Rattus norvegicus: one gene and its partner. The protein of the gene in region 1 interacts with the protein of each later gene in a pairwise test. Links are inferred from orthologs where the notes say so. Each region holds a gene or a part of one and is shown in the gene's direction. Other genes may lie near its edges. The genes, in order: Ppp3ca and C19h16orf74.

What was found.
Region 2: the proteins of Ppp3ca (region 1) and C19h16orf74 interact in binary tests that used the Homo sapiens proteins (3 or more experiments, as listed by UniProt). The two-hybrid records come from large-scale screens. The link is inferred for Rattus norvegicus from reciprocal best matches to the Homo sapiens genes PPP3CA and C16orf74.

The regions. Positions count from the first base shown.
Region 1 is NC_086020.1:227,836,122-227,843,949, forward strand, and holds the start of Ppp3ca (protein phosphatase 3 catalytic subunit alpha), read left to right. Parts: upstream 1-3,485; 5' UTR 3,486-3,691; coding exon 3,692-3,749; coding exon of another isoform or gene 3,750-3,941; intron 3,942-7,828. UniProt on the Homo sapiens protein: Calcium-dependent, calmodulin-stimulated protein phosphatase which plays an essential role in the transduction of intracellular Ca(2+)-mediated signals. Many of the substrates contain a PxIxIT motif and/or a LxVP motif.
Region 2 is NC_086037.1:65,591,149-65,598,976, reverse strand, and holds the start of C19h16orf74 (uncharacterized protein C16orf74 homolog), read left to right. Parts: upstream 1-3,982; 5' UTR 3,983-4,018; coding exon 4,019-4,105; intron 4,106-7,828.

The DNA.
Region 1 (7,828 bases):
TGTTTTTAGTCATCTGGTTGCTCTATTATATAACACTGAAGTCGCACTTCTGTATTTTAGTAGACATTTTACTTTGGAATAAAGTAAGTAACACCTGTATATTAATTTCCTAATGAGTACACTTAGAAATTCTAGTGACTAACAAAAAATGATTAGTTCTTCTTTATTTAAAGCTTCATGTAGTCTTTCTAAGGAGGTGATCAGCATTTCTTGATGTTGTAATAATAACGCTTGTCTCTATTGGATTCTGTGTCCAAAGCAGGGTCTTAGAAAGCTCTGTATTCCGCTGCAGGAATTAACAGACAGAAGGATGTGTATCAGGTGTCCCATCACTCTGCTGGCACATCACAGACAACTTTACCCATTTTATCAATACCAAGAACCAATCACATGGACTCATCATGGTCAGGCTGTGAAATGGAATTCCAAATAGGGAAGCTGCTTCCTAGAGATAATTAAACGAAGGAACACCATATTAATTTTGCTTAGTGGATGAAATGCTGTCTTTTAATCATTTTTTAAAAATTTTACCTTCTCTCCATAAGCAAAGGACATTTCCAAAGCTAGTGCCTGAACACCGAAGCTGTCACCTTGAAAATGTGGATTCCAAAATGTAAGTTAGTCTTTGTCAGTTTGAATATGGTCAAGAACTGTTTTAGGACTCTAACAGGGTTTAAGGAGAAAGGGAAAAGAATAGTCATAGCAGAGAGCTGGCCTCTGAAGGGATGACAGGCTAACAGGGATACCTTGGCTATCTGGTTGAGTAGGCTGGGAAACACACACACACACAAACACACACACACACAAAGTATCGGATGATAGAAAGATGTGCTGTGCAAAGTGATTACCGTTTGTTTTCTCTTCCACTCACTCAGACCTTAGCTTGGTGCTGTTCTAGCCAGGGTTCTAGCTGGTAGACTTGCGGTGGACTGAAGGGTGTGTCTGAAAGGTATACATTTGGTTCCTATTTCTGTCATAAAACTTTCCCGTGTGTTTGCTACCTTTAGCCTCTGATCCTAGTTCCAGGGCACCTTGCCTATGCCCAGGGGAGAGTTCCTGTAAATAACAGTTGCATCTGTGTGCAGCATGTGGGGGAGGGAGTCTTGGCCTTAAAATCGAGTATCCCCAGATAAGGTTTCCAGGTCTTTCCTGCAGCAGGCCCTTCTCACCCACAGGTCTTGGCATCCTTCCCTCGCTTCCAGTCATCTGGCCAGGGACCAGCTTCCCAAATCTGCCTTGGCAACTAGCTGTGCTCTAGCCCAGGAGGCTGTTTGCAACAACCCCTAACTGGGGAGAGTATAGAGTCCTCTTGGAGATCATTTTATGTTCCCCGAAAATTCCACTGGGCTATATAGATCTTACTGAAAGCAAGGGGACCTAGAGGTTGCAAATTTAGCTGCAGAAATCTGGCCACCAGGGGCAGCCTCCCTTTGCTGACGGGATGTGCCCACCAACTCCATCCCTTCCTCTGACTAGCAGGCCTGCCTTGTAGCATCCTCCGTTCTAATTTCTTAAGGCTACCTAGTTATTGTGCTCCGGGGCCACCAGGCTGCTATTAAATTTTAGTTTTTCAGACTTGAGTTTCACCTGACCCCTGTGGCCAGAACAGTTCTTTCAGCTCCATCTTCTATCTTCCTAAACTTCCTCCCCTCCAACACAAGCTTTCTTTGTGGAACAGTCCTGGCTGTCTTGGGACTCAGTCTGTAGAACAGACTAGCCTGGAACTTTCAGATATCCTCCTGCCTCTGTCTCCCACATGCTGGAACTAAAGGAGTGCGCCACCAACAGCTTGCTTTATATACCCTTTAGTAGGCCTTTTATTGAGCCCACAGTCCAATTCAGGAAATAGGAAAACCCTGATATTGAAGGAATTTGCAAGTAAAACAGGAAGGACAAGGGTGAGAAGTTTATTCAGCTTTCTTCATAATTTCCTTGCTGGTCCTTGGAGTTGTGGTAGGCCAGTGCCCAGAAGACATTCTGAAGAGAAGTCTCTTCCTGAAGCCAGAACTGTTTGAAAGGATCTACCTGGGCCATCAGCATTTCATACTCTGTCCCTTATTTTCTTTCTTAGGAGAGACTGGTGAGAAACTGCAACAGGCTAAGGCCCTACAGTGACTGACTGGAAGGAGCAGGAGGACATTTAGTGTCACCTACCCACACCAATGACTGCTAGCTCCAGTCAACAGGGAAAAGGCGACCTCTCCTGAATCTTTCTGACTCCTCTTATCCCCTAGGGCGTCCAGGGTCACTGAACATAGCCAGGGTCACATAGGCTCCAGTCCGCTGCCATCCTCCTTGGATAGCCAGTCACCGCGTCCCGCAGCGCCCCAAACACACTTTCGCCTCTTCCCTTGAAGTTGTGCACGCGTCCTAACCACCCCAGCAGCAGTAATCCGCATCCACCTAGCCCAGGCAGAGCTGTCTCCCCAAGGTAAGCTGTTTACTCGTCGCCTTCCTTGGCGATCCTCCCTGGACAGCTGCGGCAGCTACAGCAGCTGCGCCGCTTGCCCGGAGCGTCGGGCGCTCCTTCTTTCTCCCTCCTGGGTCTCCGAACTCACTACTGCGGGCCATGCACACACTAGCAGCGGCCGCGACACACCCGGGAGTGTGTGCGGGACCTCGGGAACCCGCAAGCGTGGTGACACGCTGCAGCCCAGTTCCTCCGGGGCCCTACTCCCAGCCCAGCCTCCCTCCTCTCTGCCCACTCCAGTGACACTTGAGCGGCCACAGGGCGGTGGAGGCTGCAGGCCCGCGGGACTGACTGGCACCCCGAAGAAAACAGAGCAGGGGGCGGGGCGGTCACACAGACCACCGCCTTAGCGATGAGGGATGCGCGCCACAGCCAATGAGCTTGCGATGTGCAACGTGGGGCGGGCCCTGAGGCGGACCCCGAGGAGGAGGTGGCCCTGGCGCTGGAGGCGGGGGCGGTGAGGAGGAAGGGGAGGAGGCGGAGGCGGGCGCGGTGGTGGCGGCGGCCGGCGCGGCGGCGAAGGCGAGGTTGTGCCCCGGACTGTGTCCACCGAGCTCAGCGGCTCTTTCCTGTGCGTGGAGAAGCAGCGGCGCCGCGAGGCAGAGGAGGATCGCGGACGAGCGCGGCGGCGGGACGTCTACGGCTGCCGCGGCCCCGGCGGCGCCCGGCGACAATCGGCGTGGGGAAGCTGCGGCGGCCGCAGCGGCAGCCGCCTCTCCACCACCGGGAAGCCGAGGCGCGGCTGGCGGCGCTGACATCCGCGGCCCTGCCTCTCCTCCCTCGCCCCCGGCCCTCCCCATGTGATCGGTCTTAATCCCGACCGTGTGCGCGCGTGGGGGCTCCATTGCGCGGCGCCCGGTGTCGGTGCCGGGGTGGGTGCTCGCGTGCGCTTCTCCTCCCCATCCCCCGCCCCGTCCCCAAGAATAAAAGAAGAACCGGGAGGCGTGCTCAGAAAATAAATAAATAACCAGCACACACGCGCAGCCCGGAGCGAGGCGGCGGGGCTGGTGGCGGCGGAGGAGGAGTGAAGGCGGCGGCGGCGGAGGAGGGACGCGCGGAGCCGGCAGTAACTTTCGAGCCAGCCCAGAGCCCGGAGCTCCAGCCGAGCGGTTTGCAGCGCGGCGGCGGCGGCGCTGAGTGTCTGGCCCGCCGGTGCGGTCGGGGTGTGCAGTCGGACGGGACCAGCAGCGCGTCGCTGTCCCCCCCTCCCGGTGACTGGAGATGTCCGAGCCCAAGGCGATTGATCCCAAGTTGTCGACTACCGACAGGGTGGTGAAAGGTAAGCGCAGCGCCGCGGCGGCCCGGGGTGCACCGAGTGCCGCAGGCGACCGTCCGCCCCTCCCCCGCCCCGGTTGTCCCTCTCCAGCTAGCGCCGGGGACCTTCTAGGATCTCCTGCAAGAGGCGATCCCCTCCTCCGCCGCGCCCTGCCCCCACACCGCCCACCCGGCCCTAATGGGGGCTTTTATTTATGTATGTATTTATTTTTATTTATTTATTTTTGTGGACCGGGGGGCAGCAGTTGGCAAATGGCTGAGTGGCTGGGAGGCGGTGGCGGGGGTGGCGGTGGCGGGAGGGGGCGCCCGGGGTGGGGGTGACTGCTGGCAGGGTGTAGCTGCTGTGACAGAAATAGGAAGTGGGTGGCTGCTCGCAGGCTTGCATGGGATCGGGTTTATGGTTTGCTCTTTGTAGAGGGAGGGGAGGTGATTTATGGCTTTTAAAAAATTAATAGGGCATTTTTATGTGGCCGTGGCTTGCCGCGGACTGGCTCGCCCCGGCACATTGCTCCAGGCGCTCCATTGCAGCAGTTCCCTGGGCGCCCCCTCCCCCTCCGCGGGAAGGGCCTGCACAGGACTCGCGAGAGAGCGGGAGAGCGTGGGGGGAGCCCAGCTCCGGCTGCCGCGCGCCGCGGGGGGGGGGGACCGGGGCCGCGTGGGGGCAGCGCCAGGCGGGGGACGACCGGAGCCCCCGCCGCCGCCCCGGGATTTCCCCGCAGGCCCGGAGCGACGCGAGCGGTGGTGATCCTCTGTCGACCTCCCTTGCCACCCATGGCTGACTGCCGCCGACCTGTCATTGCTCTTAAAGGGTTCCCTGCTGGTGCACACCTCTGGGGTGTGTGTGTGTGTTGGGGGGAGCTCACCATGCTCCCTTCCCCCAAGCTTCTAACACCCCCTTGGTAACAGGCTATTTGGTTGTCTTTATTGCCAGGGATGACTTGTATGTGTACAACTGGCGGAGATGGCTCTGGGTTGCTAGCTAGGTGAAAACCCCGGGGGATGCTTGGGGTTAGGAAGGGGACAACGTGGTTGCCCTTTCTATCCTTTGGAGGGATCCCACCAGTCTCACTGTATTCCAGCGCTGAATGGGGGAGGAGGTGCAGATTCGAAAGGATTAAGTAGTGACACTTATTCTTGGGGTCAATGTTCCCAGCAAAGCTAAGATGGGCACCAGCCTGTGCAGAGCGGGCCTCTGAAACTGGAAGGAGTGATGGGGGCGGTGTGTGTGTGTGTGTGTGTGTGTGTGTGTGTGTGTGTGTGTGTGTGTGTGTGATGAGATCGGAGACGGTATCTTATGCAGCAGAGCCTTTAGCTAGAGTGCAAAGCAATCAAGTCATTTGCTCCAGGAACACTTACGTGAAAGTAACCCGGCGCCCGCCCTAAGACCATGATACATATTCTCAGGAGCTTTAAGAAAGGATACTTGCGCCAGGGGATACTTTTACATTTGCTCCACATTTAAAGTTTTGAGTTGTGTTGTGTTGTGTTGTGTTGTGCTTTGTGTGGGTGTGTGTTATGTTCTCTTTTGTGAGAGAATAAAATATCTTCACTCCTTTTGGTTATATTGGAATCATTCCTACTTCAAAGTAGGATTCATGGAGCCGTCAAAATAGAGAGGGAATAGGGATAGCTCTGTAAAAAAAAAAAAAAAATTGGTGCCAGATCCTGAAGTGCACAACGGTCTTGTGCGGTGATCAGGATCTCCTTAGTGTGTGATATTTAGGCATAGTTCCAAGGCAAAGATACTTTGTTTTCTAAACAAAGTAATAGTTTACAATTCAGACGACACTATGTGCTGGTAGTAAAAAAAAGTCCTGTCACATTTTCTCTTTTAGATGTCAAACGGGGATTTCTAAAGTGTGTATCTCTAAAATGTAGATTTTCATTGTCATTGTCAGCAAGTAAACTGTGTAAAGCTAATTGCTTGATATGTTTACCAGTTAAGAGGCAGAGCCAGCGTCCAACCATTCCATAGCTCTTTTGCCTCATGCTTCAGTGTCGGGTTTTATAAATGACTTCCTCCACTAGTATGTAGGCACATCCATAACTCCAAAATTTTGATTCATGTATTTTTTTCAGAAGTGATATATACCTGTGGGCTGCAGATTCAAAATAGGAAACATTACTGTAATCTTCCACTTGTTTTGATAGGGATTCTACTGGAAGATTTTGTTTATAGAAAAAAAATATTGATGACTCCCGACTTTCAGATGGGCACCCTGCCATTGCTTTGTTTCTCTCATGCTTTCTTGCTCATTTTCTGTCATTGGTTTAAAAGTCCTGACACAGGCTTCCAGACAACATTTTGTCATGCATAAGACTTTCAGGATTAGAATTTTGAGACGATAATCTATTTTGATCCCCTTGAATATTATATCCACATTTAACAAGTGGAAAGGAAGACGTATGCTGAGTGGGAAAAAATCACAGAATTATTTTTCATTTTAAAGTGGACATAGTAGTATGCAGTACACAAAACATTATTTTAGTTCATAGCTTCTGAAACCTTCATGTCAATTGTCTTTCTCGAAGTCATTCCTTAACACAGGAAGCGGCTTATCTTTGATGAGCTCTTGAGGTCCTGTCTCCTCTTATAAAATGTATCAGTAGCTGTACTTGATACCTATAGGAATAGTCAGACCAGTCCTTTGGCATGCAGGGCCTTTTCCTACAGTTATCTTTGTTGCTATGATCTGGCTTTTGCCGGATGACAAATTGCTATTTACAAGTGACTCTGTGCTTGTGGTTTTGTTTATAGTAATAGGACAGCAGCTTTCTGCAGCTCTCTTGATTTGTGTTTCCAGAAGGCAACCTTAGAAAGGTAGGTGGAGTTTTAGCTTCAACACCATGGCAGTGTAGACGCTTGTTGAGTCAGCTACATCATGTACAGAGTCTTTAAACTTCAAGAAGAAATCCTTCAGTTAGATTATTTCCACAGAACAATGACCTCAACTAACGAATCATCTGTTGGTTTATTTGACTGTTCTTAAATTTAAAAACAAATGTAAAAGTTGTTAGAATTCAGAGAAACTGTTTTGGCATTCTGTTTGTTGGGAACCAGGATAATTTGATCCATTTGCTTGTTTGTTTATACATTGGAGCATGCAAACTTTATTTGTTTGTTTTGAGAAAGACTGTATATATGTTGAGGGCTTACTCCAAACTCAAGATCCTCCTGCCTCAGTCTTCAGAGGTGATTTCAGGAGTGCTGCACCATGTCTGACTCACATCATGTTTGAAAGCTACACGGAGAATACTGGAATCAGTACAAGACTGAAGTTAATAGGGTGACTAGCTCTCTTCCGCACCCCCAACATATCCTATTGCCTTCTTTCCTTTGTAGTATGCTCAAGAAATCTATTGACACTTTTGTTTTTGGTTGTTTTTCTCTGTCCTCTCTGTAAGGTTCCATTGGCTGTAAAGTTTGCCCTTTGATAGAAGTATTTGGAGGAGATTAGACTGATGTGTTTGTGGCAGTGCTCTGGCTCTGGATAATTCTTTTCTCATCTTCAAATATTTTATAATGGGCCTTTTACCTTATCCCAAACTGATTATAATAATTGACTTTTCAGAGTCTGGCAGGCTGTCAGAGGGTAGATTCCTGGGAAGAGTCCCGTAGACTGTGCTTGGTTCTCCTCTGTAGATGTTTGCGTTCGGTTTGGGGACGATAGCTGCTGTTGCACACCCTGTCACCTTTGAGCTCTTCATGTAATCAGGTACAGGTAGAGAGATTCTGGGAAGATGTCTAAGATCACAGAAGCAAGAATGCAGGAGTGGACAGACTGTTACTAAGTAACTGATGATGTAAGCCATCAGTGTTTATAGCTGAGGGGCACTGGTGTTTCAGAAAGAAAACAAGAATTTGGCAAATCACTAATGACTGTTGTATTTGCAAAAGGAAACAAAGTGGTGGGGCTATGAAGTAGAGCTCTTTTCAAATTTATTTTACGTACATTTTAATGACTCGATTAATTTGCTACCAGTTGATTGATTTTATTTGTCCGGCCTTCCTTTGGAATATAGTATAATTGATTTAAGTCCATTATCGTTAAACATCAGTATTTGGTGGGTAGAGTTTACATT
Region 2 (7,828 bases), on another chromosome or scaffold:
CACCATGTGGTTGCTGGGAATTGAACTCAGGACCTCTGGAAGAGCAGACAGTGCTCTTAACTGCTGAGCCAACTCTCCAGCCCGACCAAGGCAAGTCTTATAAGGACAATATTTACTTGGGGCTGGCTTACAGGTTCAGAGGGTCAGTCCATTATCATCAAGGCGGGAACATGGCAGCGTCCAGGCAGGCCTGGTGCAGGAGGAGCTGAGAGTTCTACATCTTCATCTGAAGGCTGCCAGTGGAAGACTGGCTTCCAGGCAGCTAGGGTGAGGGTCTTATAGCCCACACCCACAGTGACACACCTACTCCAAAAAGGCCACACCTACTAATAGTGCCACTCCCTGGGCCAAGCATCTTCAAATCATCACAGAAGGTAGGGGCAGGAAGATGAGGGGTTCAAGGGCAGCCTTAACTACACAGAGAGTTTGGGACTAGCTTGGACTATTGTAGGATACTACTGAGAATCAAAACCTTAAGGCTGATCCTTGAGTCTGAGAGAGCTGGAGCAGTTTCCTGAGGCTGCATCCAGCTATGGAGACTTCAGCCCAGGTCCACAGGGGCCTGGGCTCTTGTACCACTGTCTTCACAGCTGCTACTGAGGTCCCATATAGAGGAGTCACCACTGCCTTCTCTCAACTGCCGAATACTATTTTATGCACGTGTGTGTGTGTGTGTGTGTGTGTGTACACGCGTGGACTCTAAGAGCTCTCTTCACAACCCCGCTTCCTGCACAGCCCACGGTGGCCTCTCAGGCTTCTTGGCAGCTGGTTTCCCCTGAGGAAGGGTGCTGGCATCTACTGCACCCCCATGCAGGCCTTCTTCACCTCCCCACTTCTGCCCTTGCAGGAGGCTGCTGATATGTAGCCAGCCAGGCCCTCGTGCTGAGTGCCCAGGGGCAGCAGAACAGTAGTTTCGCCATGTTTCTGGGTTACCAGAGGAGCAGGCAGAGTACAGGATGGGGCTCTGTGGTAACCAAGACTAAAGAGAGGGGCAGAGGGAAGGAAGAGGCCTGGCCTGTGGGAAGCAGCAGTGACTGGACTCTCAGTCTTCACCCTTTCTGGGTTGAACAGACCCAGAACGTTTTCAGTCTTTTTCTAGTCTGCCCGTCTACCAGGACAGCCCCACCCCAGCCTCTAGGACCACCTGCTGATGCCTGTTTCTTGGTCTCCTTGGTCCTCAGTCTAGTGCCAGCAAGGGTGGATGCACCTGACACAGGAAGTACTTGGGTCATGAGGAACAGCACACAGGAAATTGCTCCCGAGGCTGCTAATCCCTAGAGGTGAAGACGGGTGGGAGGGTGGGTGGGGACACTGTTCCCCTGGCCATGCAGATATAAGGGGTCCCAGAACTCAAAGGGGACCTGACTTCATAGCCATCCACCCAGGACAACACAAAGGATGCCCTCTGTCCCCCTAAAGCTTCAGATGATTCCGAGATGACTTCGCCAGGTACCATCTGATCTTCAATGTCTCTGTAGCCGTTTCCCACAACAGGGAGAGGTGACCCTCCTCCTCTACAACCCAGAGTCCCTTCCAGAAGCTTCAATACCACCTTGCCATAAAAGCAGCTGTGTACCTCAGTGCAGCCCTCAGCCTGGCTGCTTTATGGGCTCTTGACACTAAATTTTCAGGTCTCCATTGTGGCCAACTGTCACAACTGTCAGCCTTGCCTGGCCCAGCTGAGTCAGACTCCGGACTGGACAAGGTTGAGGGAATTACCACATCCGTTTCGTGTCCTTTTTCTTTTTGAGCCTCTTTCTTGTAACCCAGGCTGACCCTCTTACCTCCATCTCCAGAGTGTTGGGATCTCAGTTTATCGTGTTCTGGTGACAGAAACCAGGGCCTCATGCATGTTAGGCAAGCAATCTAGAAATGAGCCTCACCCTCAGCCACACTGGCTCATCCTGAGCTCCCCAGGTGATTCCTGCATGCTGTGGCTCTGGGAGCAACTGGGAAATACTCAGGGGCTCTCATCTAAGGATGAGTGTAAGTCCGGAGGTAGCTTTGTGCTCCTAACATCAGGACACTGTGTAGTGGCTTCAGGGGAGTGAGGGACCTCCACTGGGGGAGAAGATGGAGAGAGAAGCCATGGCCCAGAGGCTCAGCCCCAAGATCTCAGAGGCTGTGAGGAGAGCCCACCTCAGTACATCGAGTGACAGGAGCATTGCTCATCTTCCCATGTGCTCTCCGCACCCCCCACCAGAATGACTGGTATTCCCTCCATAAAGATAGCTCAGGACTGACTGGAGATGTTCAGTCAAGAAGCTCTACCTTTTCTGTAGCCTGTGACTCCCCTGTGCCAAAGTTCCCATAAGTGAGAATAAATGTGTACCCTAGACGGGTGTCACAGGCACATGGGCACATCAAGGCCCCTTGCCCTGGTGGCATCAAATCAGTACTCATGGAAAAGAACAAACCCAAGTTGAAGCCAAGAAGACAGACTGATGTCTAGCAGCACCAGCACTTGGCTAGCCCGGGTCCTTCGCCATCCAGAAGAGGAATTCCAAGGACTCTGGCTATCTCCAGGGGCTCCCATACCTGCTTTGTCACCATGAGAGGAGAGAGCCCCACCCCTTTGCTCCAGAATGCAGAACCTGGACATGGGGCCATTGGCAGCTCAGGAAGTAGTCTGTTGGGATTCATGGGAGGTGATGAACCGTTAGCAGGCACCTCATCGCCCTTGGAAGGCACCACAGAAAACCCCTAAGAAAACCAGGGATCAAGGAGAGGAAAATGTTAATCAAATATGTGCACATGTGTACGTGGGGAAGGGACAGGGCTGGTGGAAGTGATGTAAGATGCTATGTTGTGAAGCTGGAAATCACAGCAAATGCCTTGCACCAGTTCCTAAGCACTTCTGCTCATCTTGGTTCATGCCTGGAGACAGGCATGGCAGGCAGATGCAAAGTGCTTGCCCCGGAATGCTCACTTCACACGAAGACCTGGGGGCTCCAGCTGGGGCAGGTCCCACCTTGTCTGGGGAAGGTGGGGCATGGGCTATCCTGCCCACCTGTCCACTTCCGTTGGAATTCTGAAAAATATTTGATCCATTTCCTATCACTGAGACCTTAACAAAGCCAGGGGCTGAAATGTCACTGCATCGTTTAGTGATGGCTCAAAGTAGGGCGTGAGTACACCCACCACAGAAATTCCACTTTCCTGCCCTGGACTCGGTCTCCCCTTATAAACTCAGAAATATACATAGCACAAGGGCATGGAGACCTGAGGCTTGTAGGGTGGGCACACCCTACAGGTTTGGGACAAAGACTTGAGCTAGACAGTTGAGGGGGCATTCAAGGGGGGTCCCATGAGAGAGCCATTAAGACACAGACCTGGAAGCCACACCTGGCTATTGGAAGGGTGTGTCGGTATAGCTCAGTGGGGAACACTTGCTAGACTAATGGGAGAGAGGGAGGGGGAAGCCATACCATTTCCCTGGCATCAAAAACATAAAGACCTCTAGGCATTGGCCCAAGCTTGTAATACCGGGAGATAGAAACCAGAGGATCAGGGGTTCAAGGGCAGTGGGCTACAAGAGACTCTATTCTCAAATGATACAAAAGAAACCATGATTTAGGGAGTCAAGAGGCAGCAGCCCAAGGCCTCTTAGTCTGCGTTCTCAAGTCCTCTGCCAGCTGTGCCAGGCGGAGGCACGTGGCCAGTCAAAATGCCAGAACCCAGCAGCGGGGAAGCCCAGCCCGTGGGTCACAATGCCACCTGAACCTCCCAACTGCAGCGACGAGCTGGGGGCGTTACCTCTGCGTCTCTGCACAGGAGGTGGAGCCAGGCGCCCCTTTCCCCTCCACAGATCCGGGGACAGCGGGCCGGGCCGATGCCCAAACTTTCCCGGGTGTGGGGAGTGCGGCTGGGGTGGGGGAGGCAGCCAGGGAGGCGCGGCGGCAGGGGTTGTGGCTGAGCCCTGGGCGGGCTGTGGGGCGGAGCGGTCCGGGCGGCACCGCCCTCCAGGTGCCGGGCGGGGGCCGAGGCAAGCGCCGCTGCAGGGAGAGCAGGCCGGGCCATGACCCCCGCGGCCCACGGCTGCAGGCGCGTCGCCTGGTGTCCCTCACGGCAGCCAGCGTCCGCGCCCAGCGCGCCCCAGGAAGCGGTGAGTGTGCGCGCGCCGTGCGCGCCACGGCAGACGCTCCGGGACCTGGGGTTTGGCGATCTGGGACATAGGGAGGGACCCAGGATGAGGGACCTTAGGATCGTGGAGACCTAGGAAGATAGGGATCCGGAGGTGGGGAATCCGAAACGGTGGAGACCGGGGTTGCAGAACCCGGGAGGGGAGGGAGAGTGGGGTGGGGTAAAGACGGGGGGGGGTAGCCTGTGTAGACCCCACGGTGGTAGGGACTCCAGAGTGATGGGAGACCCTTTGGCCCCTGGCGACCCACAACTTCCTGCAGACTTCGCTGATCTGCTCGGCCTCCTCTGGCCGCGTGTCTGACATCGGGCGGGGGCGTGTCCCGCGCGTGGCAGCCTCAGGCCCCTCTTTGCACCCGACTGGGTTGTCAGGTTGCCGAGCAGTCGGGCAAGGTGGGGGCAGGAGGCCTCGGGAGAAACCGCTTCCCTCCACCAAGTGTTTCGAATGTATTATTGATGAGCTGCCTCGCTTAGGGGCGCCCAGTACATCAAAGCAGCTTCGCGACCGCAAAGGGCGACCCGCTCGAAGCAGGCACTTCTCTTGGCAGGGCTGGCCCTGGCAGATCTGGGGAGGGCGCTTATTAAAAAGAGGACCCGCAGCTCCCCTTGGGGATTCTGAGGGCAGGAAGGACTTCTGGTCTTTGCCAAGAGAACAGTGCAGCGCAATGTAGGAGTCGTTCCCGAGAGAGTATAGAAATGTTAGAACACGCCCTGTTTTACAGATAAGGAAACTGAGTCCCAGATGGCTTCTCCCGAGTGGCAGACTCTGATGTCTCTCTAGCCTGAGACACTTCCCTGGTTGTGCTAGCAGAAGAGAGCACCTCTTGCCCATTCAGATCCCTTTCCTAGCCAGGGCACAATGTAGCCTTGGTTGCATCGTGGTCCCCCCTCCCCCAGGTTTCCCTCCCTCAGGTCCGGGTCCTCTGCACAGGAGAAAGGCTGTGTATTTATGGAAAGACTTAATCCCTCCACCAACCCCAAGGCCGTGGAAAGCTGTGTCTAATCTGTCCCTGGAAGGCCTCAGCTGGTGGGCACACACCAGGCCAGAGTGTGCGTCCCCTAGGGAGGCGTAGGTCACTCGGGAGACTTAAAAAGCAACTCGTCCTCCTGGGCTGAGGACGCTGAGACATTAGTGCTTAGCCAGCAATTGGCTAGTGCCAGGCCTGCTCCTGAGCTGTCTTTACTCACACCAACCCTCTAACCAAAGCCTCCTCTTGTCCCCATTTTAAAGGCAGGAAACTGAGGCAGGAAGGTTGATAAGTCCAGGTGTTAGCACCGAGGCAGGAGGGAATGGCTTTCATCTCAGGTGCGGAGGTGGGGTGGGGAGCTGGGCCAGGTCTGTAGAATCATGGGAAGTAAGACCAACATAGAGACTGATATAGCCCACTCAACAGAAATCCTCTTTGAGTGTCAGTCTCCCAGCCGCCCCCTCTCCCTGCCAAGGTCCCCCTACTAGTAACCACCGAAGTATTATCCTTCCCCCTGTCCCTGTCATCAATCTTTAGGGGGAAAAATTAATTTATTTTTTATGTGTACCAGTGTTTTGCTGGCATATATGTCTGCCCCCTATACATGCCTGGTGCCCTTTGAGGGCCTTGGATCTGGAGCTGGAGTTACAAGCGGTTGTGAGCTACTATGGGGTGCTGGGAACAGAATCCAGGTCCTCTGCGAGAGAAATAAATACTCTTAACCACTGACCCCTCTTCTCCTCACACCATCCCACCTGGGTGTTCAGTCTGCACTGTTAGAGAAAACATCTGGATACTTTGTTGCACTGTTACCCGTTGTTAGCTGTGGGCTTTATTGTTTAGCAGATGTTTTTAATGCTATGGAAGCCGCAGAGTGGAGCATGGATATCCACTAAGTGGCCCAGAGCAGGCAGCAGGCTGGTTAGCCCCCAGTGGGGGTCTCAGTGATTGTTGGCCTCTCTAGCTTCCCTGAGACTCTCGGTTCAGCTTTCTGGCCTTGAAGGGAGGTACCCCAAGGCTAGCATCTATTCTCAGCACGGTGCTGGAGCTGGAATTGAAAGAATTCTAATCCTGCTGCACAAATCAAGTGACTTTCCTAAAGAAGGAAGAAAGTCAGATGCGCCTGTGCCGGGTGGAAACAGCTCCATGTGGGAGCTTGGGAAGCTGCTAAAAGACCAGGTTGCCCTGCCCTGCTTCCCCCAGCCTCTCAGGTCCACACACCTAGCAAACAGTCACATTCCTTCATTCTGACTGCTCCTGCCCAGCCTGATTCTTAAAGGACAGCTTTGTTAAGGAGGTGGGGCCGAGTACCACTGTGACTCAGGCTCTCTTGGCAGAAGGCACTGGGCAGAGACCATGGTGAGGGGCTCTCCCACCCCAACTCTCTGCTATTCAGTCTTCTATTCAGGATAGCTGATGCCACGCCCTCGGGGTTAAGGCTAAAGTAGCCAAGGTTCCAAAGAAGGAACCAAAAGAGGCCCATCTCAGGCCAACTGCAGGTTCATACTGAATCATAGGATATAGCTTTCCCACACGGGACCCAGGCATCCTCCCTACAGCCTGGAGCCTGACACTTCATCCCTCAGCTGCTCTAGGTTTGTGCGGCCCTGGAGCCCAGCCTCCCCCAGACACAGTGCAGAGCCTGCCTTCTATGAGCAGGTGCCCATCATGATGCTGTCTGATTTTCTGTGTGTTGCAAACCTGTGAGAGCCAGGTGGCGAAGTCACTTCTGATGCAATTAGTCTCCAAAGCCCAGAGAAGCCCTCACTATCCGCTTTCTGAGGCTCTTCTTGAGTTTTGACTGTGTCGTGTGCAGTACAGCGGGTGAGCCCTCCCTCTGCAGGAGCTCAGGAGGGAGTAGACCCAACCCTGCAAGAGGAAGTAAGGGTTTCTAACTGCCTGCTTGTCACTGGGGAGGATCTGGCGACCATTTGGTGATGAGGTTTTATGTCTCCAAGCCCATTGTTCTGAGGAGACTGTAAACAGAGCTCAGGTACTCTAAAGAGGAAGCTGTTCACACTGCAAAGGTGTCAAGTGAGAGACTTTATGCCCAGGCCCCCTCCCAGGATAGCCAGCAGCCTGTCACTTCCCTCTGCTCATGTGCTGCCCTGGTACTTAGCTGAACTGACAATTGAACTGAGGGAAGGATGACCCTGGACCCCCCTTTCAGGAGGAGGAGGAGGGAGTTCTTTTGAAACCAGATCTCAAGCTCCCTATGTAACTGGTGCTAGCCCTGAACTCCTTATCTTTGAGCCTCCACATTTTAAATCACTGGATTAAAAGTGTGCAGCCCTGTGCCTGGCTCGGTGTGCATTTCCTGTGAACCAGCTTGTCCTTCACAAAACAATGACACCGTGACCTGGATCAGAGGCATTACCGTGAGCTCCAGGCTGCCACCTAAGATGGGCTTTTTCCTTTTCCATTTTTGTCCTGTGTGTGCACATGCTTTTGTATGTGTGTGGGTATACATGCGGGGTGGGGGAGAATGCATATACATTGTGACTGCAAGGACATGTGGAGGCCTGAGGCTGATGTCAAGAGTCATCCATTGTTCTTCAGCCTCATTCATTGAGTCAGGATCTGTCAATCAAAGTCAGAGCTCATAGGTGTGCTTGCCAGCCAGCTCTGAGGATCCCCAGCCTCTGCTTTGAGACCAGCGGGGATCCGAACCCGGTTCCTCATCCTTGCCTTACAGGCACTTTAACTGCCGAGACATCTTC